4 linked regions of the Drosophila melanogaster genome follow. The protein of the gene in region 1 interacts with the protein of each later gene in a pairwise test. Each region holds a gene or a part of one and is shown on either strand. Other genes may lie near its edges.

Region 1 (7,643 bases):
TCTAAGAATGTATGTTTCTCGTTGACTACTAAACCTTTCCTTAGCAATAACGAAATATTCTAATTTTACAGAACGATCTATTTCCAATAACCATACTAGACGACGGTGACTCTCTGGCCGAGCAATATAATAAACTTTATATGGACACAAATAGGGCCTGGGAGCCTTTGCTATCAGCTGCGCTGGGTTAACGTGGCTCTGGCCATATATACTCCATTTACAAATAGAAAATTATATTTCCATATACATTACTCAAGCGTTAAATATTCTATCCTGAATACTCAAATAGCTAAAGAACAAAAAGTATTGATATTTATATAGTCTGTATGTATTATGTATTATGATTTTGTAATGCGTGCCTCCGCTTGACTCATTCATTCGTTTGCGCTTAGTAACATCTCATTTGAATAATTTTTGTGATATTAAACTTAAAGTCGCTGATCTTTGGTATGCTCTTTTGTAGGATATTTAGTTTCTATTGATTTTCTACATTCGTTATTTCTTACCTTTTATAAATACATTGTGTACAAATATTGCACAGATAATAAGAAACAAAATATTATACATAATCTAACTTATACGAATATTGGACATGTAATCAATCGGTAATGTTATGTTTTGGGGGTGCTCTTTTGGTCCAAGGATCATATCCATATGATATACGACAAACAATATGTGGCTATTTATAAAATAAACAAAACAAACATTTATAAATGTGTATTAGGAAAAGTGTGCATGGTGGACTTAATCTTATTTTGCAATGCTGTGCCTCTCCTTTTCAATTAGCATAGATTAAATTCCCCTCCCAACGCCCGACATTTCGCTGTAAGCCTTTCAGCCCACTAAAAGCTCATGATAATTAATAAAACCAATAAACGCCATTACAAAACGAATTTTTATTTATTCTGAGCTCGCTGATGGTCCTTGACATTTTCAATAATTGCAAGTGGTGAAAGGGTTTACAGAGGAAAGGGTTTTCTGGGCTCTAAGTCGGGTTTATGCTGTGTGGGACCCTATATTCCGAATGAGTGTGGGGGAGATGGAGTGGGGGTCTGGAGAGGATGCTGAATAAGGAAACAAGTTACATACAAATAACCTAACATCAACATACATTGTGTACATGTGCACAACTATGTACATACATATGTATATGTACATCGGTATATCGAAGTATCTGCAGGTACATTCTGTACCCATGAGTGTGAGAGTATCAAAATATTTGATAGTGCCGGTGATCGAGTTTTCTAACTATTATTCGATACTCAGAATATTTGTATCTTCCGTCGATCGGCAGTAATTAATAATTGGAAAATGTGCATATAAACTCTAGATAACACATGTAACAGTTGCAATTGCTCGAAAATCAAGCTAAACAAAGCATTGCATTCAAAGATTCAAGCGCGGCAGAAAGAGAGAAGACGAGAGAACGAGCAAGTGAGTGAGAGACGAAACAAGGAGAATGTGAGAGAACGTAAAAAACTCCAACCCTCTGTATTAAACGAGTAGAAGACAAGACTGCAACAGGAAAAAACAAGAATGAGAAAAGACATACAGACATGCACACACAGGCGCTTATGCAAGTGCACGTGTATATGTGAATTAACACATAAAAATTAAGGTGCAGTCGAATCGACTTGCCGGTCTCCTGCGCATTTATTTTGTTACTTAATAATGTTAATATTATAAATAGAGATTGCTTAAATTTATTAAAAAAAGAAGTCATACGCATATTATTATATCTCTAGGTTATAGAAATATTTCCGTTAATTAAGCTTATGTAAATGGGGGTATATATGTATGTACATATATATGTATGTACATACAAGTATTTATCTGTCATCAAAATTCATAATGAAGAGGGATCACTAATTGAAAATGGGTCGAAACTCCTAGGGGGAGTTATTTTACCGATCTCGAACCCCTAGATGTGGGTTTGGAAAACATGAAAACACTTGCAAGAAGGCAGGAGAACAGAGGCAGAAGCGGAATCAAAAAAAGAACTTGTCTTAGTTCCACGGCCTGCTTTCTTTCGCCGCTGGACTCACTTTCATTAATACAACATACAGCAGAGGCAGAATTGAATGCAACGAGAGCAATGCGCTCGAGAACGCTCTGCTCTCTCGGCCTCTCCTTTCCCTTCGTCTACACATGTCCGTGGGCAAACAGATCCAGATACATGCACACAAGCATATAGCCAAACATAGATACTTGAAAACACATCGTACATACGCCGCTACAAACTGACATATTCACATGTAAACGTATAAGTGCACAGCCATACCACACAACCCCAAAAAGTTGGAAAACCAAATAAAAATACAAGGCGCATTGTATGTGCGTTTTTCTTGTGGACACTCTACGTCGATCTATGAGTACCCTTTTTGCAAGTTAATAAGAAATTTCATTATGATTGTTTCGAGTCCTAAAGGCTATATTCAAACCCAGATATAATGTAATATTTTTAAAAAATGTTCTTCAACAAGGTAGCCATTATCAGGAAATATATTAAAAGCAGGTTATCCTTTTACCCTCCAAAGAACTACAATAGTAGTTTTAGTAGTTTAGGGCATCCAAAGTGATCAAGATCCAGAATTTTGTTATGCAAATAAATTTATTCCCTACCATTAAAATACATAAATGCAATCTTAATGGCCCTTTCTGCTGTGCCTAAACCAAATCCAGATATTCAAAAAGTCATCCTGGTCGACGTTGTCAATACATTTGTTGTTGCCTCGACGGCGGTCACAAAAAGTAGCTCATCTCTCGCTGGAAACCAGTTTTTATGCTTCGCTCCCAACCGGTTTTCATCCTGATAACTTACAGCGAATTTCGTGGCTCGTCTCACTGCGTGTCTGGCTATGAGGTTCGGATCAGCTCGGTATCGGCTTCAGTCCCAGCATAAATTGCACTTCGCCTGCACGGATCGCGCATGAATATTCTGCCCAGCAATCTGGCCAAGTGACCAAGCCAATTTCGGGAGCAGGGGCCTGGGACCAGTGTCATATGCCCGACACTCGGTGCAGCGAAATGTAAGGAACGTTCAAATAAACGCGCATTTTCCAGAGAAGTAGAAAAACTTCCACCCTCAAAGCGGCACACAGCGCACAAACATACAGACAGTCGTACAAACACACAGCGAACTAATACAGACATGTAAGAATGCTGCAGTCGTGCAATTGGTTGGTAGACGAATAGTTGCTACCCAGTAAATGCGGGGGGTCATTGCCAATGCTTAACATGATCTTGGGAATAATTAAAAAAAATATATTTAACAAGAGGAGCGCTAAAAGGGGTGTAAAATTATCATTAGCAATCGGTTGATTTAAAAACATTCTATTTATTATATGTATTAAATAATTTGAAAAACTAATTAAACGATCAACTTATAGGTAAAATACCCATCTAAACTACCGATAAAGGTAACCATGAGAGATTGGATGAAAACGAGTGCCATTAGCCCTCTAACGAAATATAAAAACTAAAAACCATCTAAACCATAAGCGAGGAAAAGGGGTGCGAATACCTCCCAACCGATATACCCAGCGTGCCTCTGGGCACTGTCACTGTCATTTGCGTCGCAGCGCTGCCGCCGTCCGCGTCCGCGTCGCTTTGCCTGGCCCAGTGTTTCCGCTTTCTTTCGCCTCGTTGTAATGTTACTTTTAGTTTGATGTCGGAGCCTCGACGAGCCGGTCGTAAGCGAAATCGTAAGCGAGACTTTAGTGCGATTCCGCTCCGTTCCGCCGGTTGTGTGTGCGTGCTTAGTTCGAGCTGAGGCGAAGCAGAAGCAGAATCGGAATCAGAATCCAGCGGAATCGAGAATCAAAATCGAAACCGAAAGTGGTTCTCCGCGTGTGCGAGCTAGTGTGTGTGTGTGTGTACGTGTTGTGTTTGGGCCCGCTTTTCTGCTTTTCTACCCCCGAAAAAGCAAAGCACAGCATAAAACTGTGCGCTCGTAAGCGCGTACGTGTGTCTATGTGCCTCTGTGTGAGTGCTAGTGTATGAGTGCGACCAGGGGAAAGGAGGCAAAGAAAAGAAAACCAACCCCCACCAGCGACGGCGGAGAACAGGAAAACAACAACAGAAGGCACACAACCAGCGCACCACCACCATCATTACCATTACCGCCACCACCCACTACAACACTTCGTCATCGTTTCGCGTTGTGCAGAAAATAATTACAAAAAAGAAAAGAAATAGAATTGCAAGTAATATTAGCGACCGATCGAGTTTTAGTGCTAAAGCGATTCGAAAGATTGTCTTGCTTAAACCAAAAGGGCCCCTCGAGGCCCTAGAACTACTATCCATTACCCCGCCGATCATCCCGATCCTGACATGATGAACTTCTCCGCGTTCGGCGGCCCCTTCTCCGGCATCCACCAATTTGCCGCTAAATTCGACGCCCAGACGCCGGGCGCCTTCGGCACGCCCCCCGCGGCTGCCGCGAATGCAGCAGCCGCAGCGGCAGCGGCCGGCACCGATAACCATGTGCAGCGATATCAGACCAATGGCAATCACTTTAATCAGAATGTGCCCAACGGTAAGTGCATCTGCCCCACCACTACACTATACTATACAACATTTACAATGTGGCTACACATACGGACAGACAATCGCCTGCAATGCACATGCAGGCACATGTGTCTGTATAACATAATCACTAAAAATTTATTTTATTTTTATCGATTTATTTTCGCCCGCTGCGGGCAGCGACGCCGGCGTCAAAGCGTCAGGGGGTATACACTCTCACTCGAGCAGCGACAGTGGCGGTGGTGGTGGGGAGACAGAGTCGTTGACAGAGGCAGTGGCAGAGGGGGTCGGCTACTGCCTCGCCTAATGCCCTACACACAGAGGGTCTTGTTTTGGGGCAAAGGGCACTACTCTTGTTGGAATGGCAACTTCTGGATAGCCTTCTTTTTCAAAAATAAACTAAACGGGCTGCTGATAGTCATCAAAAACTAACGGGTACTTCTTGCAATAACTTATGATTAAGATCATCATAAATGAGAATAGTAAAACGTAAAAAATATACAACCTCTAATTTCGGTGAATAACACCTCTTGATTGTCCAATTGGTTCATATTTTAGTATTCATGACGGCAGGAAAAAGCAAGTAGAGTAAGCAAAAATATTTAAATGAAATTAATACAAATTGCTTATAGCTGTATTATTTTACAATAATATTCTGGAGTTCACGAACAAAGAGGTTTATTGATCTCAACATAAAGTTTGATTTGACCTTCTGTTTAGCATACTTTGCTTCAAACAAATCGTAGGACCTTATGACAATCCTATGAATAATTCTCAATAGTTTCAATTCTCTGAAGCTTAGTTAAAATTTCGTTTCCAATACTCAGCTAAAAAAAAAGTCCCACTTGAAACTCGAACAATACTTTCCTTGAATTCCCAGCGAAAGGTGGCTTCCATCTGGATCTACTTACTGACATTCGCATAAAGACATGTGTGAGTGTAAGCGGGTTTTCCACCCCCATCTACGAAATTCTCGCTTTCTGGCTAGCAAAGACATCTTCTTCAGGCAATTTGTAAACCGCACTACAATTTTTTGGGGGTTGGTTGGCGGGTTGGAGCGACTTAGTACGAGTACGAGTATACCCTGTCATCAAAGCAGAATTTAACGATTTTTTCGTCGTTGTTTTTGTTTTGCGCTCTTTTTATACGAATATTCCGCTCTATGTTTTGAGTCATTACCACCCACCCCCAAGTGGGTGTAACCTGTGTGTGTGTGAGTGTAAGCTATGGCTGTTGTTGTTTTGCGTGGCTTGAAAATGCAATGAACTCAAATAACTTTTGAATTTGCTGCATTTCACTTTGTTTTTTTGTAGGGGTGGGTTTCACCGCTCTCTTCAGCTACTTAAGCACATACATAGAAATACAATTAAATGCATATACGTATGTGTGTTGGGCGAGAGTATGTGAGTGAGTGTGTGTGTGTTTGAGTGTGAGTTACAACCCCCAACCCACGAGAGCCTGCCTTTGCCTTTTTAATTGCACTGACTTCCTGCCAACTTGCAACTTTTTTTGTTTTAGTGGAAGGGTGTGACCGGTTGGACGGTCTGGCGGTCGGTCGCTTCCATTCCCGATATATAGAATACATAACCCCTATACTAGCCCCTAACCAAAGGGTCCTTCTTCTTATCAATTCTAATTAGCTGCATTTGCTTGCATAATTAGATTCCCAGGCAACCCCCATCCCCCAGATGGCGTTTCATAATTTATTTTTGCCCTGGCAACAGCACAGATATTTTCCACTTGCATTTATTGGAAAGTGCAGGACCCAAGCCCAAACCCAAACTCAAACTCCTCTGCATTGGCTAAGTTCATTGATCCCAGCTTTTGAGATACGCATTATATTTCCAGTTTAGCGTTTTATATTTTTTACCTGCCATAACAGGAAAATGCGTTTGCAAGTGTGTGCCGAGTGTGTGTGGGTAATGCTGCTCTTTTATCTCTTTCAACACATACGACTGGATGTAATCTACGGCCCTGGGTATTTCGTATCTGGCGGACTGTGTGCTGCTGATCCCAAATCCAAGGCAGGTAAAATGTGTCCCGCGTACTCGAGCCACTGCATTTTCCTGCTGCTCTCGCTTATTAGCTGCATTATCGCTGCCCTGCGACTCTGTGACCTGCTCGAGGTTTATCTTTTGATACCTACCCGATAATTTGCCTGGTTTTCTTGTATGTATAAATCATTTTTGGGTTACCAGGAAATGTGCAGCGGTAGATGTAGATATGACCGGACCCTTGAAGTCGCCCTCTGGGTATGGGTCTCAAAATGTAAACAGATAAATACCTGGCCAAGATTGGGAGAGTTTGCTCAGAGTTCACATGTTGGAAAATCCAAAGCAGCTCATAATTAAGAAGAAGCGATTTAAATGAATATCAACTCGAAGGCAGACTGCGTACTAACTTATTAAAATTACTTATATTGGACTAATGCAAAATAAACAAAGACTGCTATTCACATCACGTGAAATCAAATACAGAGATACAATCGTTATTTGTAGTATTGCAAACTAAACTTTTTGTTAAGATGTTTAGGGATAAAACCAATTTTCCCATTAATCAACTGAATTTCTATGTTTTCATCCAGTGTCCAGTATTATATAAGAGACGTTTAGCTTTTAATTGCATGCCTGGAACCCTTTATCCTGCAGCATTATGGGTTTCAGTGGACACCGGGTATTTTGTTGTCGAGGACACAGTCCTCTCTCCTTTATAAACCTCCCCCTAATGTTCAGAAGACACCCCAGCCATAAACCATTTGCATTTTTTATATGCAGACATATGTACGTACTTATGTACCTATGTGCAGAGTACATAGATGTATGTGCTCCGTGGGTGTGAATGACTGGTTACACCCCCAAATCGTTGCCTGGATGTATGCAACACTAAAAAAGTGAGCATGATAAAGCAATTACGATGGGCACATACACCCCAACCCCCAAAAGCTCTTTCATTTGAATGGGTACAGATAAATAAATATTAGCAGTCATTGATTATTTATTTCTTTGTTTTCCCCCGTTGACTTTAAGCCTTAAAGCAACCGTTGAGCTTTCATTTTTTTATTTTTCGTCCTGTTGGCGCTGATGACTTAAACTCTGCCGATGGCGCCGTTTGCTTTT
Region 2 (9,872 bases), on another chromosome or scaffold:
CTCCGATGTGGCTTAGTCGTTCTCCAAGTGCCCGCAATCGTCCCTCAAAAGATTCAAGGAAGGTGCGCTCCTGCTGTCTAGCTGCCTTCCAAACGCCCAGTCCGATGCCGACCACATGGATATAGGCGGGCTTACCAGCCTTAAATGCTCTGTCCTGTGCCTCCAAGAGCAGGGTGTCGAAACTGATGGCATATCGCTTGCGCATTACCTGGTGATCGAAGATGCCCTGAGAAACCTCTTCGAAACGCGTAGTATCATACGGAGTGTCGGCGTAAATGAAGTCCCTGGGCTCCTCGTAGAACTCGCGCCAGATTCTGCGCAAATCTGATGCAGGTGTGACCGTCTCGCTGGATATCTGTTCCAAATCGAAACCGTAGCCATTGGCCTCAGTATTTTGGGTTTTAGTAATCATGATATCCTGGTACTCCATCACATCGGGACGCTCGAAACGAGCTCCAATTAGTCCAATCACAACGCCCTCCCGTTCGATAGTGTCCTTATTCTGCAGCACCTCACCCCCATTGACCCTACTGCCATTGTTAATGAACTCCGAGTGGCAGGACACGTAGAGCAGGGCGGACAGCTTGATCTCGTCGTAGCTGAGCACCGAGGTCAAAGTGAGGGGTTCCTTTTCGGCGGGCGTACCCACTGCCTCGAAGCCCTCGTTACCAATATTTCCCTGCATTGTACGGTAATAGTCGTTAGCGCCAAAGAACCACACACATCTCTTCGCCAGCAGGCGCTGCACAAGGTCAACCACAGTCATGTCCTTGTAGATGGCCTTCTCCTGCTCGCTGCCTGTAAAACGATGACCAGAAAATATAAATTCTTTCGATTGTGATTGTACCCACCGAACGTGAGCTTGTGCTCTAAGAAGCTGATAAAGAGTAGGAGGGTCCGTTCGTGAATCACCGGATAGGCGGATGCGATTTGTTCCCGTATGCGGTCACTTCGATCTTCCGGCTGTGCCTTCACTCGGCAGGAATCGATGCCAAACTAATGTGGGGGGATTATATCAATGTCAGAAGACAATTTTGCGAAACCAATTCCAATGAGTATACCTCGGCGGGAGACTGCTCCGAAATAGCTTTGAAATTATCGAGATCCACCGAAGCGTCCGGCTTTGCCATTTGGCCACATTCTTGAAGCATCCGCTGAGTGAAAGCATTTTCCGGCAGATTTGTACGTTTACCAGGCCATATGATAATAGATTTTCCGCACAAACATGCCAATTTGGGACGTTGGGAGAGCATATAAAGAAAAGATCTCATCGCACTTTTTGGAGTCACTTTTAGGAGTCCGGACAAAAAAGTTCGCCGCTGATAGGAATATATGTCAACTGTCACTGGACGATCCAGTGCTGCACACCGACGTCAGATTTAATAACTTATTTCCACTGTCACATTAACTACCCAACACTCAAAAAGATTTGAAACGAATTTAATATAGCTTCTGAAAAGTTGTTTTATTTCCATTCAGATATTTCGAAATTATTATAGAATCCATTTCCATTTCGAAGTTGCAAACAAACTTTTCTCTTGTCAACCTACATTTATTAGAAAACAAATGGTTCTTATCAATTTAGTTCGAAAGTTCACAAGTGTCTCTTCCCCCCTTGAATGTGTGTCTGAAAATATTTGCTGTTCTGTTTCCATTAAGAGATATTTGGTAATTAAAAAAAAATATATATATTAATTTCTCTAATATAGCAATCTCTGTTAATAATTCTCGAAACAGAAACATGATCGACATACTTTCAAGCACTAATTACTTTTTACAAGGTATTTTATTTAAATTACAAAAGGATGTTAATCATTTAAATTAAATCTGAGACTGCAACGCATTGCGCACACATTTCCCCCAGAGCTTCGTGTGCCGCCTTCCTTTGCTACTTCCATCCTGGTTTTCCGCTCGGGATTACACGACGCGCTTGACCTCGAAGAAGCGTTTCAGGTAGTACACCTGGCCCACTGTCATCAGGACCAGGACGAGGGCTTCGAAGGTGGACCACAGCACCACTCGCGAGTTGGTGTTCTCGTTCACCGAACGATGGATCTTGTCGCGCACCTGAGGGAGTAAAGAAATTGGAGGATTAGTCGTGGATTACTTCACAAATAATGTCAATACTGATTATAACCGATGGTGAAAACATGAGTGTTTGAAAATCGCTACTAGTTATTGTTTATGTGGCAGCTAGCAGCTCCATTCCCTCGAACAAGTCTACCGACTCCGCTCTTAAATCTTGCGACGTGGATCTGTACAAGTAATGCTGGAGGCATGCCAGACTATGTGGCAATAGTTACTCGATTGCTCCCATATTCCATGTACCCCTAATTCTGCTACATGTTAAACTCTTCCAAAACCCCCAATCATGATTATGTGGCAGCTGGATGCTCCATCTTCACCTCGTCTCTTCACTCACATGCATGTACTCCTGTTCGTGCTTGACACTGGTCAGCGTGCCGGAGAGCTCCCGAATCATGTCCTCCAGCTTGGTGTGGCCCACCTCCTCCTCGCCGGGTGCTCCGGGCGCACGTTGCGGTGCGTCACCCACGTCGATGGAGAACATGACCAGCTTGGGGGTCATGCTGCTGCGTTCGTTGTTGAAGCACACGGTGTAGGTTCCCTTGGCGGGGGCCACAAAGGTGTACTTGCCGGACGACTCCTTTTCGCTCTCGTGCATCACATGGTTATCCGGGCCGCTGATCTTGATGTCCACGTCTAGGAAGCCACCGTCGATCACCTCGAAGGTGACGCCTGTAAAGTCACCATCATTTTATCAGCATAGATCCCTTGTCAATTGACCGAAAATCCATATCGCTCACGTACCAAACTTGGTGCCGCCTTCGACGTTCTCGAAGAAGCACTCCTCATTGTGGGCGTCCACGCTGACGATGAAGGCGTGGCTGGTGCGGCACAGGATCAGCAGGCTGCCCACAAGGAGCAGCACCTTGGCGAGTGTCGATTCCATCGTTTGTCTTAGTACTTTTGGCCTGGTTTTAATCGCTATTAAACGCACTGCAGCCACGTAGTTGTAGTCGATTCGATATACTCCGATAGATGTAGACAAATAGGGCATATCGAAGAACAGCAGTTTCCGATAGATTCGGCATCGATAGGTGCACGCGACACGCGATACCGAATTTTTAACGGATCACTACAAAAAACTCACAACTCATAAAAATTCAAAAGCAACATGAATGCCGCGAAATGTTTCGGTTAAAGTATTGGATATCGTAACTAATACATTACTTTATTTATGTGCGTACCTATATGAAAAACTCTTGGTGCATTCCATCACAGTTAGTTAAAGTGTTCTAGTATTTTTGTGCTATGTGTTAATCGGCGACTATCGACAGTTGCCCACCATTAGGAAACAGAAAGCTAAAAAAAAAAATGCAAAAATTGGCCAGAATTTCGGCATAAATAATAGTATCCCTTGCAAAACTTGCAAGCTGCGTGGCAGGACGAGCAGCTGACCACCAGATCGTCTTGAGGATTCAACATCAGGAACAAAGGTTTCACATTGGACGCATTTGCAAAAACCGAAAGGGAAAACTGCCAACTCCCACACACAAAAAAAAAGGAAAAAAAAAATCATCAGCACGGAAAGTAAAAGGTCAAGTGGTCAACCGAAATCTGGGTAATCCGGGGGAATCTTTGCAAGAATGCAGCAGAACTCGGCCAGCAATCCCTTCGCCATGTCCACATATGTGGAGCGGCCCCAAATGGGACTGGACGTCGAATTCGGAGCGGATCCTGCCAGCGGAGCAGCTTTCTTCCAATCCGATGGACGCAAGCATGATGATCTCAAGCAAATGTTGGACAGCAACAAGGATGGACTAAAGCTGGAGGCCATGAAGCGCATCATTGGCATGATTGCCCGCGGACGGGATGCCAGTGATCTGTTCCCGGCAGTCGTCAAGAATGTGGTGTCCAAGAATATCGAGGTCAAGAAGTTGGTCTACGTCTATTTGGTGCGATACGCCGAGGAGCAGCAGGACTTGGCCCTGCTATCCATTTCCACATTTCAGAGGGCGCTCAAGGATCCCAATCAACTTATTCGCGCCTCGGCTCTGCGAGTGTTATCCTCCATAAGGGTCAGCATGATTGTGCCAATCGTAATGCTGGCCATTCGGGATAGCGCCGCCGATTTGAGTCCATATGTGCGGAAAACAGCGGCACATGCCATCCCCAAGTTGTATTCTCTGGACGCGGATCAAAAGGATGAACTGGTCATGGTCATTGAGAAGCTTTTATCGGATCGCACTACTCTAGTGGTGGGATCAGCGGTGATGGCCTTCGACGAGGTGGGTCTGCAGCTAAAGTAAAACATTTATCCTCTATATACGACGGATCTTTATTCGTAGGTTTGTCCGGAACGTGTAGATTTGATACACAAGAACTACCGCAAGCTGTGCAATTTCCTGCTGGATGTGGACGAATGGGGTCAGGTGATCATCATTAATATGTTGACCCGCTATGCGCGCACTCAGTTCGTTGATCCCAATGCGGATGATGAGGATCTGGTCAACGATGGCCTGGGCGAAACGCCCGTTAGTGAACGCTTCTACGACGAATCCTCGCACTCCTCTTCCCACAGCGATGATGGCAGTAGCGATGACGAAAAAAACAAGTCGAGTACGAACAATAAAAACAATGGCGGAGGAAATGGCAGTAGAACACCCAGTTCTCCGAGCAACAGCTACCACATCGATGTGGATCACCGCCTGCTGTTGAGGCAAACGAAACCATTGCTCCAATCGCGAAATGCCTCCGTGGTGATGGCAGTGGCGCAGCTCTATCATCATGTGGCTCCCAAGAACGAAGTGCAATTGATTGCCAAGGCGCTGATACGACTGCTGCGATCGCATAAGGAGGTTCAGAGCGTGGTCCTCAATTGCATTGCCTCGATGTCCACCAAACGAAAGGCGATCTTTGAGCCGCACCTCAAGTCGTTCTTTGTGCGCACCAGCGATCCCACGCACATAAAGCTTCTCAAGCTGGATATTCTCACCAATCTGGCCTCGGCGGGCAGTATTTCGCTCATTCTGCGCGAATTTCAAACCTACATCTCCAGCAGCGATCGTTCGTTTGTGGCGGCCACGATTCAGGCCATTGGACGATGTGCATCTAGCATTAAGGAGGTTACCGAGACCTGCTTGAGTGGCCTGGTTCATCTGCTGTCCAATCATGACGGTGCGTTAAGCTTTCTTTTAGCCATTTGTATTTTAATTTTATAAGTATTCCGTTATTCCATTTAGAACACGTGGTGGCCGAGAGCGTGGTGGTGATTAAGCGTCTTCTGCAAACGAAAGCCGCCGAGCACTTTGAGATTATCACCCAAATGGCCAAACTGATCGATTATATCAATGTGCCCGCAGCTAGGGCAGCCATCATTTGGCTTATAGGCGAATACAACGAGAAGGTGCCGCTGATTGCCCCGGATGTGCTGCGCAAAATGGCCAAATCGTTTGTCGATGAGCAGGATGTGGTGAAGCTGCAGGTCCTAAACTTAGGCGTTAAGCTCTATCTGACCAATCCGGAGCAGACATCGTTGCTGTGTCAGTACGTCTTTACGCTGGCTCGCTATGATCCCAACTACGATGTACGCGATCGTGCCCGTTTTCTGCGGCAAATCATCTTTCCGGCGAGCGGAACGAGCTCGGTGCTCAGCCAGCATGCCCGCCAAGTATTTCTCGCCAGCAAACCGGCTCCGGTGCCGGAGAGTAAATACCGGGATGGCAATAACTTCCAGTTAGGATCGTTGTCTCACTACCTGAACATGCCAGCGGCTGGCTACAAGGAACTGCCCGCCTTTCCGGTGATTCCACCGGATTCATCGGTACGCAATATAGCTGGATTTATGCAGGACAAGCTGCCGGGTGAAGACTCGCCATCCGGACATTCAAAGGATAAATCCGGCCGTGAAGGCGGTAAGGAAAAGGGTGCTGGTGGCGAGAAGGGCTTCCTCTCTGAGTCGGACGACAAGTCTTCCGCTTACTCGGAATCAGGCAGCAGCAGTGGCAGTGGCACCAGCGACAGTGAATCCGATAGCGATGGCAGCGGGAGCAGCGATGAGGAGGAGGAGGAGGTGCAAAAGCAGCAGCCGACCAAGGTTTCCTCGGTGAAGGAGCGGCTTATCGATGCTGGAAGCAATGAGCTGGCCGCTACTTCTTCGCCTGTAAAAGCAACTATAAACAACAATAACAATGCGAGAGGTTCGTCAGGAACATCGGACAGCGAGGATTCATCAGCGTACAGTGGCAGTAGTAGTGATGACAGCGCTTCCGGTAGCGATAATGAAGTGAAAAAGAACGAAACGAAAACGGACACAGGCACAAAGCCGGAGAAGTTGAAAGAGAAGCACGAGAAACAGCCGGAGCAAACGGCTGTCAAGAGCAATCTGGACCTGCTACTCGATCTGGATGACATTCCGCCCATTGGTCCCGTGATGACGCCCTCGTTGGGAGGATTCCTGACGCCTGGTAAGGTGATGCGCATCTCTAAATTGGCCTCTTTATATAATAATTCTTCAATAGGCACACCAATGATGGCTGGACAGGCGGCGCCACTGCAGCCGCAGCACGCCCGCAATCGGGTGGAATTGGTGGGTCCCTCGCACATCGAGTTCAAGCACAAGGAGCTGCTTAACAAGGTCAGTGGCCATGGACTGCATTTGGCCTACCGTTTCACCCGCTCCCCGCATCTGTACTCCTCGAGCATGTGCTCCATTGAGCTGCAGTTCCAGAATCGTGGCGAAAAAGAGATTACGGCCATTCGTCTCGGGCAAACAACTCTGCCGGCGGGCATGCAATTGAATGAGTTTGCGCCAATCACTGTTCTCCAGCCCCAACAAACAGCGAGTGGTGTGCTGGGCGTCGATTTCAATGATTCGACGCATGCTGTAGACCTGGAGCTTCTGTCAAGTGCGGGCAGTTCACGACTGCAATTGAAACCGCCGGTGGGCGAGCTGGTGAGATCCGTCCAGATCGGCGAGAGCTGTCATCGCGAGGAGCGGGCCAAGCTGCGTGGAATGAATGAGCATCAGTGCGAGTTGCGTGGCCTGAGGCAGGACCTAATCGATGTGGTCGCATTGCGGCAAAAGGTTTTCGAGTCCATCAACGTGGCGCATACGCACAGCTCTTCCAGCGGTCAGCTACACTGTTTCGCCGGCCAAACCCTGAGCTCCAAAAGCCTCGTGCTACTCACCCTCGATTGGAAAACAGAGGATGCCCTCACGCTGCTGGTAAACTGCGAGAAAATGGTCATTGGATCCATGGTGCTCAACGAGCTGCGCAATGCTCTGCAGCTCAGTTTCGCCATGTGAGCGATGGACACGAAAGCGAACAAGACGAAAGCGAGCAGCGAACTAACTTGAGGAGTGGAATCCCCTGGAGCAGGGCTACTCAACTGAGAATAAGGCAAAGCCGCCTCACTACGTAAACATAGCATTCATATTTAGCTATACACTTGTAAACGGGCGGGGAGAACGTAATCTTTGAAATTAGCTGATAACATTAGCTGAGATTACAGGTGTTTTAAATTCCATTTTCGAGAGATTATATGTAAATGTGCAGTGTAACAGATGCAACTTAAGTGTTCAAGTGGGATCGAAATCCAAAACTAATTTAAATTGCAATTTCAACTGTAATTATTACATATTCTTTAACTTGTTGAAAACTGAATGAAAAGTGATGCAAACTATTGTGTAAATGCTACAAAACTATATTTATTGTTATACACATTCGCAAATTCTTAATGAAACTTATTGAAATGGGAAACACACAACTTCCTATATATTTGTATCCGCTTATACTGAGATATTTTGCATAAAAGAGTCACCATTTCCTTTTATGAATGGATGAACACAACATGAGATTAGTGTAGCTTTCATATCCAAATCGAAAATTATTCAAGGATTACCAACCGCCCCGCCCAAATATAAATGAAACATGATCCTAACGCTTTTAATATTCCTATATACAAACTGCAACCACAAACAATTCCAGATGAAATGAGATGTTACAATTGATTGAACTCGAATCGTTGCCGATCCAAACAAATCCTATCCTCCAATCCATCCTACTTAGCTAGGCGTGTGTGTAATGTGTGTATGAGTAATCGAAACGTATTTGTAAAGTGTTTGATGTTGTAAATCTGTTGCCTTCGTGCTCTATGCGGCCTTCTTCAAAACGTAGCAAAGACAAACGAATATCGAATCTATATATTATATATTATATTCATACAATAAACAGCGCAAATTCTGGCAAATTAAAGTGAACAAATGAAACGTATTCTAATAAAGAAACAAATCAATCTGTTAATATGCCTGAAACAAATAAGCTGAATCTCCGCATTGAAAAGCTGAAATAAAAGCTTACATTTTAAAATTGAGAACGTCTTACCTGTTTTGGATAAACGAATCAAGTTTAATACACGCTCGCACATGTCAAGTAAAAATGCTTTTTTCAAAAGTTTTCAATTATTTTGATGTTTATTCACGCTTGTTCTTGTTACTTTCTCCACTCACCAAACAGAATATAAGAAGTCAGCAAGGACAAACTTTCAAATGCAAAAGAATCGAATCGAATTCTAATTAGTTCAATTCCTTAAAATTCGAGTTGATTTCTGCATTTATGTATCAATTTCCTGCTGCTGTCGCTTGAAAGTCGGGATTGCTTCAAAATAGCTCCGTGGGAAATTATAGAAGGAGGTTGGACATACTGACATGCTGGGTTATAGAACATACATAACTCATTCCTCAAATCCTACGCTGCTTTCTCCAAATCCAACTGTGTTTTAGGTGTCGGTGTCGGTGTAGTTGTAGCTGTATTTCCTTGTGTTCTAATTTGGGTTCTGCACAATTAAAAAGCTCAATTTCATGCTTATCAATATAAACGAGTTAGTTAGATCGCTAGGTTAGTAATGTTTAGTTTAGTTTTGGATTCGCTGCTGCACTTAAAGATCTCAAGTAGTAGTTTTAGTAGTTGTAGTTTTCGGTTAGGCTAGGCTTTAAGATCAACGGCTTGAAAGTTCCGAGTGATAAGTGAAGAAATATAGGGTTTTGGGGATGCTATATAATGTATGATTAGGGGATAGATAGCATGTATGTATGTACGAATAGTACGAGTATGTACGTATGCATTAATGTAATTTTTGGGTAATATGGCATGGGTATATGTATGCTGTAATAATGGGTTGTGAGTAGTTCTTGACAGGCATATAGTAGAGCGTTTGTATATAGTGTCCTGGGGTAGTATCGTTCTCTTCTCGTTTTCGCTATTCTGTATACACGTTATATAATATGCCACGGCCTTCGTTCGCTTAACTTCATATAAAACTAGTTTTTTTTTTACCATTTTTTTTTTGTTTTGTTTAGTTTTCTTTCTTTTAAATGTATATGCAAGATGTATATATCGATTTATGCAGTATGTGTGTATGTCTAAGGATGATTTTCAATCACTTATTGTTACGTACGGTGTTTGGTATAACATGCTTCGCTTGGACTAGCCCGATGGCCTCTTTCTCCACCTCTCCCGTTTTGTCTACCTTCAGATTTATTAGATCCGGCGGATCGTTCAAATCGTTCTTTCCTTCCCTACTCTCTAACTTCAATAACATATAAAGCATTGGTTTGGTTTTGGTTTTCATCTTTGGGTGTCTTAAATGGGCAACGAAATAGTTATCGCTTATCGCACAAACGATATTTTCGATTATGGCTCGATTACCGAGACTATATAATCGATAAGCATCGATAGCTGCGAAGCGAAGCATTGAGAGGGCCTAAAACGGACGGATTGCTACCGTTAGTCAACGGCTAACCGTTCGATGCCTGTTGTTAGTGCATTTAAGTCGTTAAGTTTTTGTTT
Region 3 (8,825 bases), on another chromosome or scaffold:
CCGTCCCGTAGTTACCTTTGCCTTCCTGCCTTAATGATGCTCTCGACGCACCTTGAGCACCGGCTTAGTATCTACCAAAAACCAAGAAAAAAAACCTGGGGATAAAAAAAAAACAGTGAAGATCTCTATCAGCGGGTTAACTCGTTTAGCATTTAGTTGCAGGCGCCTAACCAGCTAACTTTATCGTGTAGTTTGCATCTTGATGCCCATGCCGTTTTCCCAGGACTATGGATTCTGGACTTGGCCACGCCCTGTCTTATTAGGCGCAGACAGTGTCGTTTATATCATTTATATTATTTTATGACATTTGCCTTTTGTCCGTGGTAAATTATGTGTAACTTGTAGTTTTGGCAGCTCACGATCATCTGATCTTTCGAGCATCCAGGCAGGTGACACACGGGTTTTCGTGGCCACGAACTGGTTAATTAGGGTTGTCCATGATTTATTGATCTGTCGAACTGGGGAAATGTAACCTGTCTCAATGATTATGGACATTTATAAGCTGATGGTCTTTTAATATATGAATATGGCTGGTCATTTTGATGGGCGGGTTATATGTTAATTACCTTTTGCCTAAGAGATTGTGTGGGTTGTTCGAGAGCTTCCGTCCACCCGTATACCCAATCCAAATCCCTTCTCCCCGGCAGCTAATCTTCTCTGGCCCAATCTTATCCAGCACGAACATATGTCGTTGTCAACCTCTGGCAGCTTGACCGCTACCGTTCAGCATCTGCAGATCCAAGGCGGCAGATAGCGGACTCACAAAGATGTCCTCTGGCCGAGGGACTTGGATCGTCTGGCGCCACTTGGCTACTTGAACCGAACAGAGTACCCAGAGCCAGCCACTTGTCGCGTCCTTCTCAGTGCTCTGAAGTACATTTGCTTTATGGAGGAAGGCGCGACGAAGGACAATAGAAAATTATTACTTCAATTGGCGACAGACGACTGTGCTCAGGTACATGCATCTTGAGCAACTAAAGACACCGCCGCCCACGGGACACTTCACACCCAGCAAGGCGAGACACACCGCAAAACGACCTGTCCTGGGAATCCTTGGAATCCAAGGAGCGTGGTCACTTTATGGGCTGTGCCGATGTCGCGTCAACTTATGTGTCTCTGTCTCGATTAGGTTTACTGTCGATCTAGTTTACCATGCACCCGCATGACGCAATTACACCTGATTTATCCGAAGGTCCACCTAGTGTATCTGAACAGAGATCTGCTTGCATCCCACTGTCTTTTGTGTGACATTTCTTTGTCGGTATTTTTGCAGGCGTGAAGCGTTACATTTTCAAATCAAATCTTTTGTTCTAACTGCTGCGATATTTGTATAAAAATATTTTACGATTCTCTGGCGCCGTTCGCTGCCAGAAATCTCCAGTCATCATCATCAGCTGGCCAAGCACCGGAGATATGCCGTCTCGTCCGGATCCGGAGTTGCAGTGGAGACTGGGACATGGGAATGGGCATTACTCGGAAGAGCGTGCCAGGGCGACAGCGAAATGCTAATTTAATAGAGGCTCTTCGACATTGACTTTCTTTCTAGTCCACTGAATGCGAACTCAAGCTTGAAATTATTTGCTGGCGACGAGTCAAGGAAATAAACGCATGTCTGTCGACAGATTTGTCTGATGAATGCACTTATGAGTTGAATCAAGTTCAAGATCAATGGCATTTGAACCAAATTGTATGTAGCTTGTCCTGAAAGAAAATCGATAGATAACTAATCAAATTCTATAATTAGTTCAACTGATTAAAGTAGTAATTAAAGTAAAAGTAATAGTACTAAAAATCGCAAATAAATCTTCACAGAGTTATTGTTTCTATTTTATCCAAATACAAAAATTTGTTCAGACCACAAGAAATAAGGGAAATGATAAAGAACCATTTAAAAATTAAGTTCTATAAAAATGGTGTTTCAAATAAATTGGATTTAAGTTATTCCTTTTTCTTTAAATTACAAATCATTGCATGTTTTCAATTTGCGTTGATGAATAAGTTAAGTTAAGTAAGTAAGTAAGTCTTAATATATTTTAGAATAATATAGCTATTCGTTAACGTATTTCAGTCCAATGTGTTTTAAATGATCAATGGCTCACTAAGTATCAATTATAATACTTCCTGTGAATATAGGAATGTGCATTTCAATCTACTTCCACCCGCAGGCACTTAAGCCCTCAATTTCCAATGCTGACAAGCACTAATCAATAGGCCCTCGAGCCAGAGCCCAAAAACTATATGAATTTCGATTTTCCATTTCTCAGTTTTTTTTTTTTTTGGGCAAATCAATAGCGAGGGCATAGCATATCGAAATTCCAAAACGGGCAATTAACAAAGCCAACAAAATTTATGTTTCACCTGTCTGCAGCAAAGTACATAAATACCCGAGAAATGCCAGACAATGTCGAAGATAGGGAACCCAGCTAATTACACGGGGGCATGGCAAACGACGGAGGGACAGCGCCCAAACGGAAGACGGCTGCAATGGAAATGGCAACGGACATTTTCCGACAGCGCCAAAACCAACAAAAAAACATAAAAACGAAACAGACACACAAGAAAAAAAAAGAATAAACCGAGAGGAGAAGAAAAGGCAACGGCAGCTGAAGACAGCAGACAGGCGCGCTGTGGAAAATCTCACTTCTGAATTACAAGCAACGCCATAGCCCGGCTAAATCCACATCCATATACATACATGCATACATATATCCAAGTCTCCTAACTGACAGTGATCGAGAGGGAGACAGGGAATGCGGCTTGAAGGCAGTGGCGCAGAAAAACACTGCGGCTGATGAAAATCAACAGGGCTAAGCGTTAACTTCGCCACTCGGCTGCACGCAGTTCGCTTTTCCCGCTCCTCCGCTGCTCACAAAATGGCGCCCACCGTCGATCCACCGATCTTCGCCAGAGTGGGACAACACTAGTACCCACATAGCGTAGGCGTCTTCCGCCAGCCAATCACAGGCGCTGCCCACGGAGAACCGGTTTTCCAAGCGTAGCTGCTACCTGCTTGGCATCGGGAAAAACTGGCTGCGACCCACGGCGAGTTAGCACTCGAGCGGAGCTACTCGAGATCAGTTCGTTGCGAAACGTCGAGCGTGAAAGAACCTCAGAGCGCATCTTCAGTTACGAGCGAGTGAATAACAGTGAAGAATTCCAAACTACCAGTTATTATCAGAACGTACTAAGACATTTTACCAAGTGCTATACACCGTGCAAGTGCTTCGAAATGCTTTCCATGCAAGAGCTAATGGATATGCGGATGCAGCAGCAGCTGGCCCACGAGATCTACCGCCAGCAGATCATGCAGCGGATTCCAGGTGCGTTTCTAGACATAAGGTCTATGGGTGTTGATCGAATGCCGTCGGCAAATGGTTTCGCGATTTTCAAACTAAAAAATATGAGAAAATATATGCAACCCAAAAGAGCGTACTTAAAAGTGTTTTAATATTGTGATTATTATTAGTGCTTCGGATTTTATGAGCAATAAATATTCTACTTCAATTTAACTTATCATTATAACTAGAAATTGTGGTCATAACTGCATTGCCTTTATTTTCAATCTTTGATTGAACATATCTTAATAGGTATTATATTCCGATAAAATACAATAGATAGCGAAATTCCAGCTAACTTAGAAATATGATTTCTGCAACACCCACCTCCCTGAAGAGGTCCATTGCAAACCCATGCTAATGAACTAACCAAACCGCTTCTTCCAGATCCCTTTCCATCGATGTTACCTTTCAACATGCCCCACCAGCAGCCGCACATGATGCTGCCCAGTCGTCCCACCCTGCCCGGCGTGGAGGCCAAGTTGGAGAACAACGATTTGTGGCAACAGTTCCATAAAATCGGCACCGAGATGATCATCACAAAGAGCGGCCGGTAAGTTTCATTTTCCCGCGAACCCATTATCCTATGCAAATAGCCCGAGTTTTTCCAAAAGTCAAGTGCGTCGCACGGCCTATGTAAATATTTGCTCCTGTACCAGGGCCAACTTTCCCAATTCCTATCTCATACGAGTACGAGTATGCCTATACCCTGAACCTTTCGATTTCCCGGGCCTAATGTGGCGCCTGGCCATAACTCAAAACGCAGCAGGAGCTCTCGCTCGGAGTGACAACAAGTGCAGTGTAGTCGGCGGAGGAGAACACAAGAGCAAGACGCCGCCCTGGCGCCGGTCCGATCATAAAAATCTTTCTTCTCTCGGTTTCGGCGTTGACAATCGGGTTTGGTCGATCTACCTGCGCTTTTCACACTTTGCCCACAATACCACCATACCATACCATACCATACCATTCCATGCCCTGTCCGTGACCCTTCTCCAAAGCGATGAGACCAGACCCTAGCGTATCTCAGATAGGGGAACTATCGAACAGCGACTACCGAGCGGGAGCCGAGACAAATTTACATAATTATGATCTGAACTCGAAGTTTAAGTTGCAAATGTACACGGAAAGAAATCGTGCAACTACAAGCATTATTTTTGGCCAAGGCTTAGAATATGGCTGGGCATCATAGAAATCAAGAGATCTTGAACATAAATATATATTTGTTATATATATATATATTTCGTAATATTTTATTGAAAATGATTAATATCCAGTAGAAATATTATTTTTCTGTGCTGTTTAATCCGCGATAACAGTCACTTTCTCGGCTCATTAGACATGCATTCGACGCTTGGAAGCCGTTAGGGCGACTCCCAGATTTTGTCTAATTGCTTGGCGCCAGATTGCCCCAGCTCCTCCAGCACTCTGTTGCTCCCCGTGCTCCTCCATGAACCAACGATCCACACAATTAATCATGTGCCGTTGGCATATTGTTTTGGGCTGGCAAGATCTGTTTGCGTTACCTTTTAAATCGATGCGTTGCGCTACGCAGACTCCCCGCTGCCCTCTACTTTTCGGTCCATAATTACACACTTGTTAGCCGGGGCAACAAATCACAGGCGATATGAAGTAAAATAGAATAGATGCCCGGGCGACGCCTTCTTTTGCGATGCTCCTTCCCTGATTTATATGCAGTTCGTGGCAGGCCACTTAATCAAGTCCTATTCTTTTCATCCTTACAGACGCATGTTCCCCTCGATGCGAGTTTCCCTCAGCGGACTGGAGGAGGAGGCCAGCTATTGCGTACTCCTCGAGATGGTGCCCATTGGCGATTGCCGCTACAAGTTCTCCGGTTCCCAGTGGGTTCCGGCCGGAGGAGCCGAGCCCCAGAGTCCGCAGCGCATGTATCTGCATCCGGACAGTCCGGCGACCGGTGCCCATTGGCAATCCCAGGCATTGCTCTTCAACAAGGTCAAACTGACCAACAATACACTGGACAGCAGCGGACATGTAAGTTTGAGTGAGCTCATAGTGTATCTTTTGAATGGGTTACTTATAGTTTCCATTAACATTTCCAGATCGTTTTGGCCAGCATGCATAAGTACCAGCCACGCCTGCACATCATCCGCAGCAGCGAGCTCACCCAACTTCCATGGGCTCCTCAGCAGGCGTTCGTTTTCCCGGAGACGGAGTTCGTAGCTGTCACAGCCTATCAGGTGGGTTAAAGACAACATCCTTTCCGTCCTCCATTGAGGACATGTCTGACAGGACAAAGACTCTGCGGGGGTCGTCGCCTAATTGAGGCATTTTCAAATTTGTCGCCTAGCCAGCCACTTGAGTTTGATCCTAACGAGGATCACAGTGGAACTTTTCAAGTGCCCTCCCAGCCGACGGCTACTTACTGACGCCTCGTAGTTTAAATTTCGACCAGACAAAAACAATAGAGATCGTTTTTCATACTATTTAAATTAGATTTAAAACTACGCGTTTTTTTACATATTTATTTAATCTGCAAATCTTTTTTATAAGGCCGTAAATTTATTTATTGTTCCTTTTTACGATCTAATTGAAAATTCAAGTGTTAAAAGTAATACATTTAGAGCTAATTCGTTTTAAGAATTCATTGTTGTATAAAAACTGATAGTAATTAATCATTTATGTGCTTAAATTAATTTATAAATTTGTTCTCATGCTTGCAGAACGATCGCATCACCAAATTGAAGATCGATAACAATCCGTTCGCTAAGGGTTTCCGCGAGTCGGGTCAATCCCGCTGCAAAAGGAAGCTGAACAGCAGCGGAAACTCGACGCTGGAGTCGGAGGATGATGGCTCCAGTGTGAGCAGCTGCGATTCTCCGCAGGCGAAGCGCCAGCGCCAGGATTTTGAGCAGGACTCAACGGGTAGTGTTTCGCCAGCTTACTATGGAGCAACTCATCCAGTTGCCAATCCTATGTCGCCGTATCTCCGCCATCACTTGAGCTATGGACCCAGTGGAGCTGCCGGATTGCCGCCCAGCATTGCAGCTGCCTATTTTGGTGGAGTTCCTCCGCAGATTCTGCCAATGCCACCAGCCACATATGCGCCAACTGTCGCGCCTGTTAGTCCTGTGGCCTCGCAACCCGTTGGCTCCAGCACACCCACAACATCACCAAGGCCTTCAACCTCAACGAAAAGAAATAGCTTCAGCATTTCAGCCATTTTGGCCTATTGAAAGAAATATTTGGTAAACATACTTAAGTTGGAGTCATCTTCTGTTGTGATTAGTGAGAAACGTGTGCATATACTTTGTAAGCTAATCTATGCTACATATAAGATCGTTTAAGAACCAAGCTGCAATCATATACATTGTTAATTCGTTTTAAGAGTCTTTGGTCAAAATAAACAAATCAGACATCGAATCCGTAGAAAATGCAAAACTATTTGCGGGGGGGGGGGGAGCAACGGTAACCTTCAGCGTTTCCGTTTTTACAGGTTTTTGGCCATATCGCAGTGCCTGGGCCAAAAGCAGTTATGCGACCGCTTTGGCGGGCCTAAGACAAATTAATGCTCTCCATTATGGTGACCAGTCGGTTCTCGAGTCACACGTATCTGAAAAACATCCAACTCCGGTAGTAGTTAAAGCAATTCTCCAAAGATAAGGCGTCCATTATGAGCAGCGATTTGACGGCTTTCAGGCTGTTTGGTCTTTGCCGACTCCCAGCTCCCCTGCGATTCCATCCGCATCCCTGGGACACAGAGATGACGCAGAGGTGGGTGCACGGAGAAAAAAAAGTATCACACATTTCAATTCAACTAAGTAAGTTTTGGCTTATGGTATTGCTAATAGAAATGGTTTTTAAAGTAAATTTAAAGAAAGAAAAATTCAACATTCATCTGATCATTTCAAAATCGAAGCACTTTTCTTGCAGTGCACTTGCTGCTGTTGCCGTCTTGTGAAATTTTCGTTTTATCGCACCTTTTATGGCCATTGGCCAGGCCAAAACGAAGTGGGAGCTGGCCAAGAAACCGAAACAGAAACCGATGCCGAGTCGGTTGGAGAGACTTTGGTGTGGTCACTCCTTGTGTGCATTATCGTGTCAAATGCGACAAATCTGTCTGTGGCCCGGCGGCTGCCTTTCAGCTTGCATAATTGAGCTGATAACTCGGCGCTCCGTGGATGTGTGCGGTCCACTTTTGAGCGTTTCCTAAACGGTGGCGCCAAACATTTCGTGTTTAATATTTTTAATTAAGTTTTTAAGTGCATCCAGAAGGAGATGGGACCACAGAGAATTTATCTAGCCAGTCGTTGCGGATAGTTCAAAGGGGCAACGAATCGATTTGGCTTCCATTCATAGAAATCGATGCATATATTATGCATAATGTAAGCCAAATCAGCGCGAAATAATTCACCAGCCACACGAAGCCGCGTTTCAAGCGGCTTTTTGACTAATTTGGGCTTAGTTTTGTATTAGCGCTTTGTGTTTCTCCTCGTCTTCGATTGGATTTGTTGGTGCATAAATTTACATTTGAAATGCTGAAACAATTAAATTATGGGATTTGCACGTTTTCACCCAAAAACAAAAGGGGCCAAAACAACATCAAATCACATTCGTTGTCGGCGTCTGTGCCTCAGAAGTGTTTTTTTTTTTTAATGTTAGGTGTTTTTTTGCTGACTCGCTGCTGGCTTCTTTTTGAAAAAACGGTGGCAAAAAGCGTCAAAATTCGTAGATTATGAGATAAAAATGGAAATCGAAGTCGCTCCGGTATTGCATTTCTAATTTGCGCTTGTTTTAATATACTTAATGAATTTTTATGTGTAGGTTGGTCCAATACTCATGCCCAAATCCAAATCCGGTTTTCGTTCGAAGCTGTTGATAATGATAATGAGGATAACGATGCTTTATTGAGGAGGTGTTGCCGTTCGGATCTGAATTTTATTTGCGCCACATGTTAGCATATTGTTGTTGCCGCTGCCGCTTTTGTTGTTCTTTATTGCTAATTATAATATATTTGATTTGGTATTTAAGCTTTAAGCTATAAAAATGTTCGCATTCTCTGTTTTACGAGCCAACAGCTTGCAAATATTCAATTAAATTGTGCGAACGAGAACAGGTCGAGGTGGATTGTGAAAACTAATCATAATTAACACACCTTTTTCTATAATGTTCTAAGTATTTTATTGAAATAAAAAAAGTCAAAAGGAAATAAAACATAGTTTTTGGTTTTGATGGCTTCTACACCCGTATTAAACATATTATATAATTACATTAGTAATATATATCTTAGAAAGTCTACATTTAAACAGAAGAACTGAGTGTTTTAAAACCAGTATTTGAGCTACCAATTTTCGATGGGTTTTGTATACATTTCTTAAGCATTTCCCTGTATTTTACATATTTTACGCATTATTTTACACATAATATTTTACATTTGCCATGTATTTTACAATGGTTTGGAGCCGTGCTATATGAGTACACTATCAAACAAAATTGTTTCTTAAATGCATTATT
Region 4 (6,783 bases), on another chromosome or scaffold:
GGCATGTTCGCCTTGTCTTCTGATAAAGTCGCCGGCGATAGCGCGGGTGGGTCGAAGGTGTCACTTGTCAGCGGTACAGCCGGGGTCATAGAGATATAAGCGATACTTATAACAGGGATTGTACCATAATCAGCCAAAAACTGTAATGGTGGGATCAACGAGTTTCTTTCTCTTCTAGGCATTAGATCAAATGGTGATCTTGGGCAGCCTATTACCTTACTACATTTCACCACTATCGTAGTGACCTGAGCTGTGAGCTGGCCTGAATGGATGCACCCGACCGGGGGTCGCAGGCAAAGGGAGCGGGCGAGAGCCCTCACCTGTGCGCACCACTACCTGTTCTGATAAGGCCAGCTATTGAGACAAATTGTGGGGCGACAGCTCCGTTTCCACTGGCATTTCCATTTCTATTTCATTTTCTTCTCAGCCCTTCGGCTACGTTGACAGCGGCGTTTAATGGCCAATACAAAGACAGCACGCACGCTCGGATGTGAGTGCTATCTCGGAATATCACCCACTTTCTGCTCCAGTTCAATATTTCATATTTATTTGCTTTCCGTTTCTGTTTTTCGGCTCTCCCGCTCCCGCTCCCACTCCTCTGCTGCTCGTTGCCGAGCTCCTGGCATTCGCACCTGTACAGGTGAGATATGGGCAACCGATCGACGATACTGGGTGTACTTCGTGGGGCCCCGATTCTTGGTCGGGAGCTGGTGTTTTAAACTTCACCGTCAAATCCGACGTTTCAGTTACGTTCCGAGTCGCGACAAGTGCATATTGTGCCGCCCGATCCAACCGATCGGCGGCTAGATATGGAGCACCCAGTGTGGAGGTGGCGGTGCCTACGTGTAGCTACTCCGACATGGAGCCATCCGAAACCCCTTCCGGGCAGCGAATTACTTGGGCCAAGGGAATGCAAACTGTGATCATCCCGAAAGTTTGTTCGTTTGGCTTAAGTTATTTTCATGTCCGACTAAAGCGCCACGTGGTGGAGATCGGATATACAAGGTGGATATGGTGGCCACCTCCCAAGGAAGTTGTCTTTCGGTCTGCTAACAGCTCGAGTGAACTAATGAGTTGGCCACGCTTGGTGATCCCAACTGGGTACGTCAGCAGGTGAGGATCGGGGGTGGGTCTGAACCCCATGAGCAGCGCCTCCTCGAAGGCCCATCGATCTGGAATGATTAGCCTGGCACTGATACCGAGAAGCGACGTGATTCGCTCCGCTCCCAAATAGCAGACGCCGGCTGATTAAATCCGCCGCCATACTCGGCTTCCGTTTGGGTTTCGGAGTCCGACTCCGACTCCGACTCCGAATCCGAATCCGAGTGGAGAACTGCTCTTCGGCTGGGGCTGGGGCTGGGAATCGGATACTCCACTTGGTGCGCTGGCACGGTCGCTCGGGGCCGTAAACCCATTATCACTATATTGGTTGTACGATTTGCGGATCCGTCGCCAGTTGGCCGACTGTAAAATCTGATTTCTGTAGACGTGTCGTCGCTTTGCCCCAACCGATTCGATACGGCTGGGGAAACTGACTTGGGAACGAGATAAGAGCTCTGGGAACTCTGGGAGCACCGAAAGAAAAACATACACAGTGTGCTGATCATTTCGAGGAATTATCTTACCACCCAGAAACTTATTTGATATGTCGATGATTATACGAGCTGATGATTGAAGATATATGAAGTAGGTATATTGAAGGTATCTTTTTTATCTATTTTCTTCCAGTGCAGTGGGGTGGCAAAGGGCTTTGTGGGTAGGGCAAACGTGGCACTCTCTCTATAAGGTAAAAAGGTAGCCGAAGCCAAACTGATAATTGTGCAACGTACACAAACCTTGCTCGCATTGCTCCACTTGCTTTCGGTTTATCAGTTGGAGTGACAAGCGGAAATTAAAGTTGAAATCGACACGATTATTTCATTAGTTCTGTTTGCGAAGGGCCGAACAAGTGGGCGGAGTGATCCGAAAGGTCGGATCCGAAAGGCAGGAGCTGGCAAGGTCACCCGGATGTTTATATTCGGCAGTCTAGTTGCCGATTGACGGATTGATTGTCAGTGGCCATAACTAACCAATTAGCGATTGCCATTCGTAGCAGGCAAAGCCAGGCACATCTTCGGATGGTTGGGTCGGGTGGGTCACCAGCTGGCCCGGGTGCTCCAAGGTGAAACGCAGCCAGAAATAAGTGCGCCCAGCCAAGTCGAGTTAAGCTGAAGACTTGGACCCAATTCGATCAGGTGCAAGCGACAGAAACAGCGAAGATGGCATAGACAAACAGAGGCCACGTTTTCGTTGGGGGAGTACAGTGAAGCCTCCAAGCAGGACCCCTCCTTTCGAAGAGATCTTAGATCTTAGATCTTGATCTTAGAAATAGTTCGATTAAGGCTAATAGAAATCAAAGCTCTGGCTGAGATCTGGGATCGGATGGATGGACTGGTCGCCTTTAAGGACCTTCCACTGTTCGAGGGCACGAGTGGAGCCCTGGGAAGATGTCATTGGTTTGGACGTGGACGAAAGCGAAAGGTGTAGACGGAGACAGAACTTCAGCGAATATGCCAAGGTACGTCAGGAGAAATGAATTACCCGGACTGGAGTCGTAGCTAGTTGGAAGGGGGATGTCTCGAGGAGGGGCTGGCAAAGTGCTCCAGCCCCCAAGTCGCACTTTACTGCAAATGCAAAAACTTTAGACAGGGAATCAATTGTTGTTACCTTGTTTTATTTCGCCCAAGACACGCAACAACAATGGAACCGTCAAAAGGGGAGAGGCCAAGATGGAGAACACGGCTAGAAGACATTCTAGTAATAGTGGTTACTAGGAGTACTAAAATGTAGCAGTAAGATATAAAAAGGATATGAGCCACCATCAAGGAGTGCCTATTCCTCCAACTAGCACTTATACTTTCTTAATATGAATTTAAGATGACAATTACAACATATTCCTTGTATTTTTATAACTAGTAGCTTGCAAAGTTATTCGGGCAATTAATTTTATGATCGGAAATTCATTATGCGATAAGCAGTTTTTCGAGTTAGGATCATAAATGTTTTATCTTCGAAAAAGTATTACAACGCTTCCGGGTTTCCCAAGTTATGTGGTGCAACAATACTGAATATTCAATATTTAAGCAAAAATAAGGATAATAACTTATCTTTGGCTAGTTTTTCTCCCAGTGTCGCTGGTAACTAGCAACAAATGGGCAGTCGGCAGTTGGGGGCGTGACAGCAACCGTGAAAAGAACTCGAGGATGACAGTTATGGGTTACAAAGGCAAGGATTGAATCAAATAAATAAACGCGCAAGGTTCTCGTCATGGAGCGCGGCTCACTGGGTCGGTTATTAGGTGGCCAGGGGGACAGGGAGCCACCACCGAGTGGATTTATATGGGATTCGATTGAACGGGTTGAGCTCCGACCGGGGTGGGTTCGGGCATGGGCCTGGGGGTAACCTTACCACGTCCACATCCACGTCCATGTCAAGTTTGCATGCGGCTGCAGGTAATTCCCCATTTCACCCGCCTTTACATAATCACAACAAATGAACGAGGAAAGGCGACGGATGGCGAATCTATTAGCATAAGGGCGCATAAAACGGCGCCGGATCCGGCTGGATTCCATCGAGGATTCGCACTCGTCGACTCAGTTGCAGTGGAGCCGTGGAGCCGCGATGAACGTTTGGAAAGCAAAGGTCCTAACGGAGGTCCCATTCGGACACGTCCTCATCGTCAGTGGGCGCGTCAAGCCTCATCCGAATAAGTAATCATCTTTCATAGTTTGGATACCCGGTTCTCCACTAAAAGAATACCGCTTTGATCTGGGTTAAAGTCAAAGGTCAAATGTAGAAGCTGATTTTCTAACCAAATGAAATTAACCAAATGAAATAAACCAATTAGTTCAAAAAGTAAAAAGAGATTAAGTATAAATGGTATTCGAATTATCCGATTATTGACAAAACAATGCAGTTCTAATGCCAACGAAAGGCTTATAAAGCTGTGACAGAGATTTGCAGAAATGAAATGGGTATCCTTAGCGAGTTTGGGGGAGTGCCGAGTATCCTCCCAATCCATATCTAATACTTTTTACTAATGACACCTCTCGAATTACGGACAGAATTTCGCTGGACCTCACGGACAATGTGAACGCGCAGAACGAGAGCGAAACGGTGTTCCTGAAGATCGAGGCCAATTTCCGCGAGGGCCAAATCATCCGCAGCATGTTCCAGCCGGGCGGGGGATGGCAGCAGGAGGAGATCTCGAAGAACTGGAAGTGCGACGGCCCAAAGAACCCGCTGCAGCCTGGCCAGAGCTTCACCTTCCGGGTGGCGGTGCTGCAGCGATGCTTCGAGATCTACGTGAACGACCAGCTGTACGGGTCCTTCGAGTTCGTCAAGTTCCCCAAGCAAATCAACTACGTGCGCACCTACGGCGACTTCGAGAAGATCACCCAGTTCCACCACCGCATGCTCTTTCCGCTCGTCTTCCCCAGAACGCTCATGTGTCCGGACAAGGTGGCCTTCCAGAGCGACGTGCCCAGGCGGTATGAAACCGGCACAGTGGTGGCCATGGAGTGCATCGCCAAGGGCCCGCCGACCACGGAGTTCTCCATCTGCTTCCAGTGCAACGACACCGGGCGTACGGTGCTCCGGTTCCACGTGAACTTCGATCGGACAACCGTGTCACGCAGCTACCAGCGTGAAGACAACAGGTATAAAGGAGTCCGAGACTCCAATATGCAAAGTTCCTCCAAGAGAATTCACCTTTACTCACTTATTCTAGTTTTGCCTTGAGCGACGAGGAGACCGAGGGCGAATTCCCATTTGTGCGCGGAAAGCTCTTCAAGATCGCTTTTGGGCTCGGGGATCGGGCTTTCCTGATCGCCGTCAACGGGCAGTACTTCACCTACTACAACTTTCCCGGACGCCCCTTCTCCATATCCACTCTGAAGTGCTTCACCAACGAAGTGGGCGACTTCGCCGTGCGGAGCCTGGAGTACCACTCCGATTCTCCGCTTCTGGCCCGCGTGGAGAAGTTGTCCATCATTTAATCGATTCGAGTTCTCGTAGTATGCTCTTTGTTCAATCGTTGGCTTTGATCACCGTACAGCACCAGTTAACTTCTTCTTGTGAGCATCCAAATAAAGCAAAGCAGCTCTCCAAACTACAATCTCCTCAATAATCATCAACCAATAGGCAGGTTCCTTTGGATATAATTTTATTAAAACAAATTATTGCCGTCGCCTCCCCTTTTCGCCTGGATGAGCATCAGCTTAAGCATCCGCCTCAGCAGGAGCCACGTGCTGCTCAACAGCTCCCGTCTGGAGCTCCACTTAGGTTAGTCTTAAGGTTAGTTCTGGTTTGCACACTCCTGCGAGCGAGTGCAAGGTATTGGAGCCAATCCGATCGCTAGTGACCAGGACTAGCATCCTAGACGGAACTGCTGATGTCTGTCTCTCTATAACGCTAGATCCTCACTACGGAATATGTGTATATGTATATGGTGATCGCATCTCGATCCTAGAAGTAGCGGAACTCGCCCTTCTTGCCCAGATGCTTGCTGCGCATCATGTCGGTGGGATCCGGCGATCGCTGTTCCATGCCGGGATTATCCTGGGTAATGTAGAGCGGTTAGCAAGTCCCATCATGAATTGAGTGACCAGCCTTACTCACCCCTGATCGCGATTTGTTGCCCGGACCTGTGGGACCCGTCGGTGGCTGCTGCTGTTGCCCGTAGAACTGGGCTCCATCTCCATCCCCGAAATTGAAGGGGGTTACAATCGTGTGCGGCACGTGGGCCACCTGACCCCGCATGTTGCGCGCCTTCCACCACTTTCGGGTATCATCAAGGATCTAAAGTTTCGAAGAGATGGTTATAGGACAGAACGAAGGATGGTAACGTGGGTGCTGGCCTTACCTCCAAGTATTCGCCTCGCATCACGCTAAGCTCCTTGTCGTTGTTGGCGGTTCGCGGATAGGTGACCAGCACAATCTTAGCGCCCGTCGCCTGCAGATCCTCCAGCCAGGACTCGAGCATCTGGTCGTCGCTGACATTCGGCAGGCCTCTGCCTCCACCGCCCAACTCCGACGAAGGCCCCGGACCAGCTCCTGCTCCGTACCCGTTTCCACTGCGAGATTCCCTCGTATGCAGATTCTGCAGACCAGCTGTGATGGCGCTAAGGGTTGGTCCAGCTCCTGGTCCGTGGCCATGACCATGGCCATGTCCCGCTGCTCCGCCGCCCCTGCCTTCGATCGAGTCGAACGACAGCTCGCTGCGGGCGTTAAAGTCAGACGCACTGATTGCGCCCGCCCGCTCTCTGTCGCGCTCCCTTTCCCGCTCCCTTAAACCGTCGTTGCCGTGGTGGATGGTGTACTTCTCGATACCCATGGCCATGTTCATCCCGTTCCCCGAGTCGTAGTCATCGTATCCGCCTCCCCCACGACCATTTAGTCCGGATCCAGCCTGGACCTCGAGTCTGCGCTTGCTCACATGAGCGGGCGGGGAATTTGGTGGTGGCTCCAGTTCATCGTTGATCAAATAGTCCGGTGACCAGCCATCGAGGAAGACCGGATGGTAGGATCCAACGTCATCCTTCCACTGATCTCGCGGGATCACCCAGGCATCGCCCAACGAGCGCCACAGCTCCGTTTCCTTGCTGGTTACACAGTTGATGAGCAGGTTGATGGCCTCTCTGGTCAGCAGGGGATTAACCACACGGGCCGGTAGCTGTGACTCGTAGTACGTGTCGCTGGAGGCCTCCACAATCAGAGCCAGCGGCGTGAAGAGGAAATGCACCA

Evidence for each region.
Region 2: the proteins of l(3)neo38 (region 1) and rb interact in a two-hybrid assay, tested with the Drosophila melanogaster proteins (one large-scale study listed by BioGRID).
Region 3: the proteins of l(3)neo38 (region 1) and Doc1 interact in a two-hybrid assay, tested with the Drosophila melanogaster proteins (one large-scale study listed by BioGRID).
Region 4: the proteins of l(3)neo38 (region 1) and CG13950 interact in a two-hybrid assay, tested with the Drosophila melanogaster proteins (one large-scale study listed by BioGRID).

What each region holds. Positions count from the first base shown.
Region 1 is NT_033777.3:11,774,368-11,782,010, reverse strand, and holds the start of l(3)neo38 (lethal (3) neo38), read left to right. Parts: upstream 1-2,882; 5' UTR 2,883-3,029; exon of another isoform or gene 3,030-3,153; intron 3,154-3,389; 5' UTR 3,390-4,332; coding exon 4,333-4,537; intron 4,538-7,643. Other genes in the region: prd1 (pruning defect 1), read left to right, coding at 1-9, 72-191.
Region 2 is NC_004354.4:4,534,102-4,543,973, reverse strand, and holds rb (ruby), read left to right. Parts: upstream 1-3,347; 5' UTR 3,348-3,668; coding exon 3,669-4,310; intron 4,311-4,370; coding exon 4,371-5,199; intron 5,200-5,264; coding exon 5,265-6,488; intron 6,489-6,542; coding exon 6,543-7,330; 3' UTR 7,331-8,339; downstream 8,340-9,872. Other genes in the region: CG3568 (uncharacterized protein), read right to left, coding at 1-798, 852-996, 1,062-1,271; CHOp24, read right to left, coding at 1,918-2,067, 2,423-2,757, 2,830-2,971.
Region 3 is NT_037436.4:9,038,311-9,047,135, forward strand, and holds Doc1 (Dorsocross1), read left to right. Parts: upstream 1-3,064; 5' UTR 3,065-3,229; coding exon 3,230-3,320; intron 3,321-3,518; exon of another isoform or gene 3,519-3,587; intron 3,588-3,722; coding exon 3,723-3,888; intron 3,889-5,077; coding exon 5,078-5,345; intron 5,346-5,413; coding exon 5,414-5,551; intron 5,552-6,034; coding exon 6,035-6,547; 3' UTR 6,548-6,732; downstream 6,733-8,825.
Region 4 is NT_033779.5:856,661-863,443, forward strand, and holds CG13950 (uncharacterized protein), read left to right. Parts: upstream 1-3,536; 5' UTR 3,537-3,660; coding exon 3,661-3,749; intron 3,750-4,103; coding exon 4,104-4,697; intron 4,698-4,768; coding exon 4,769-5,036; 3' UTR 5,037-5,146; downstream 5,147-6,783. Other genes in the region: aru (arouser), read right to left, coding at 5,506-5,598, 5,659-5,838, 5,903-6,783.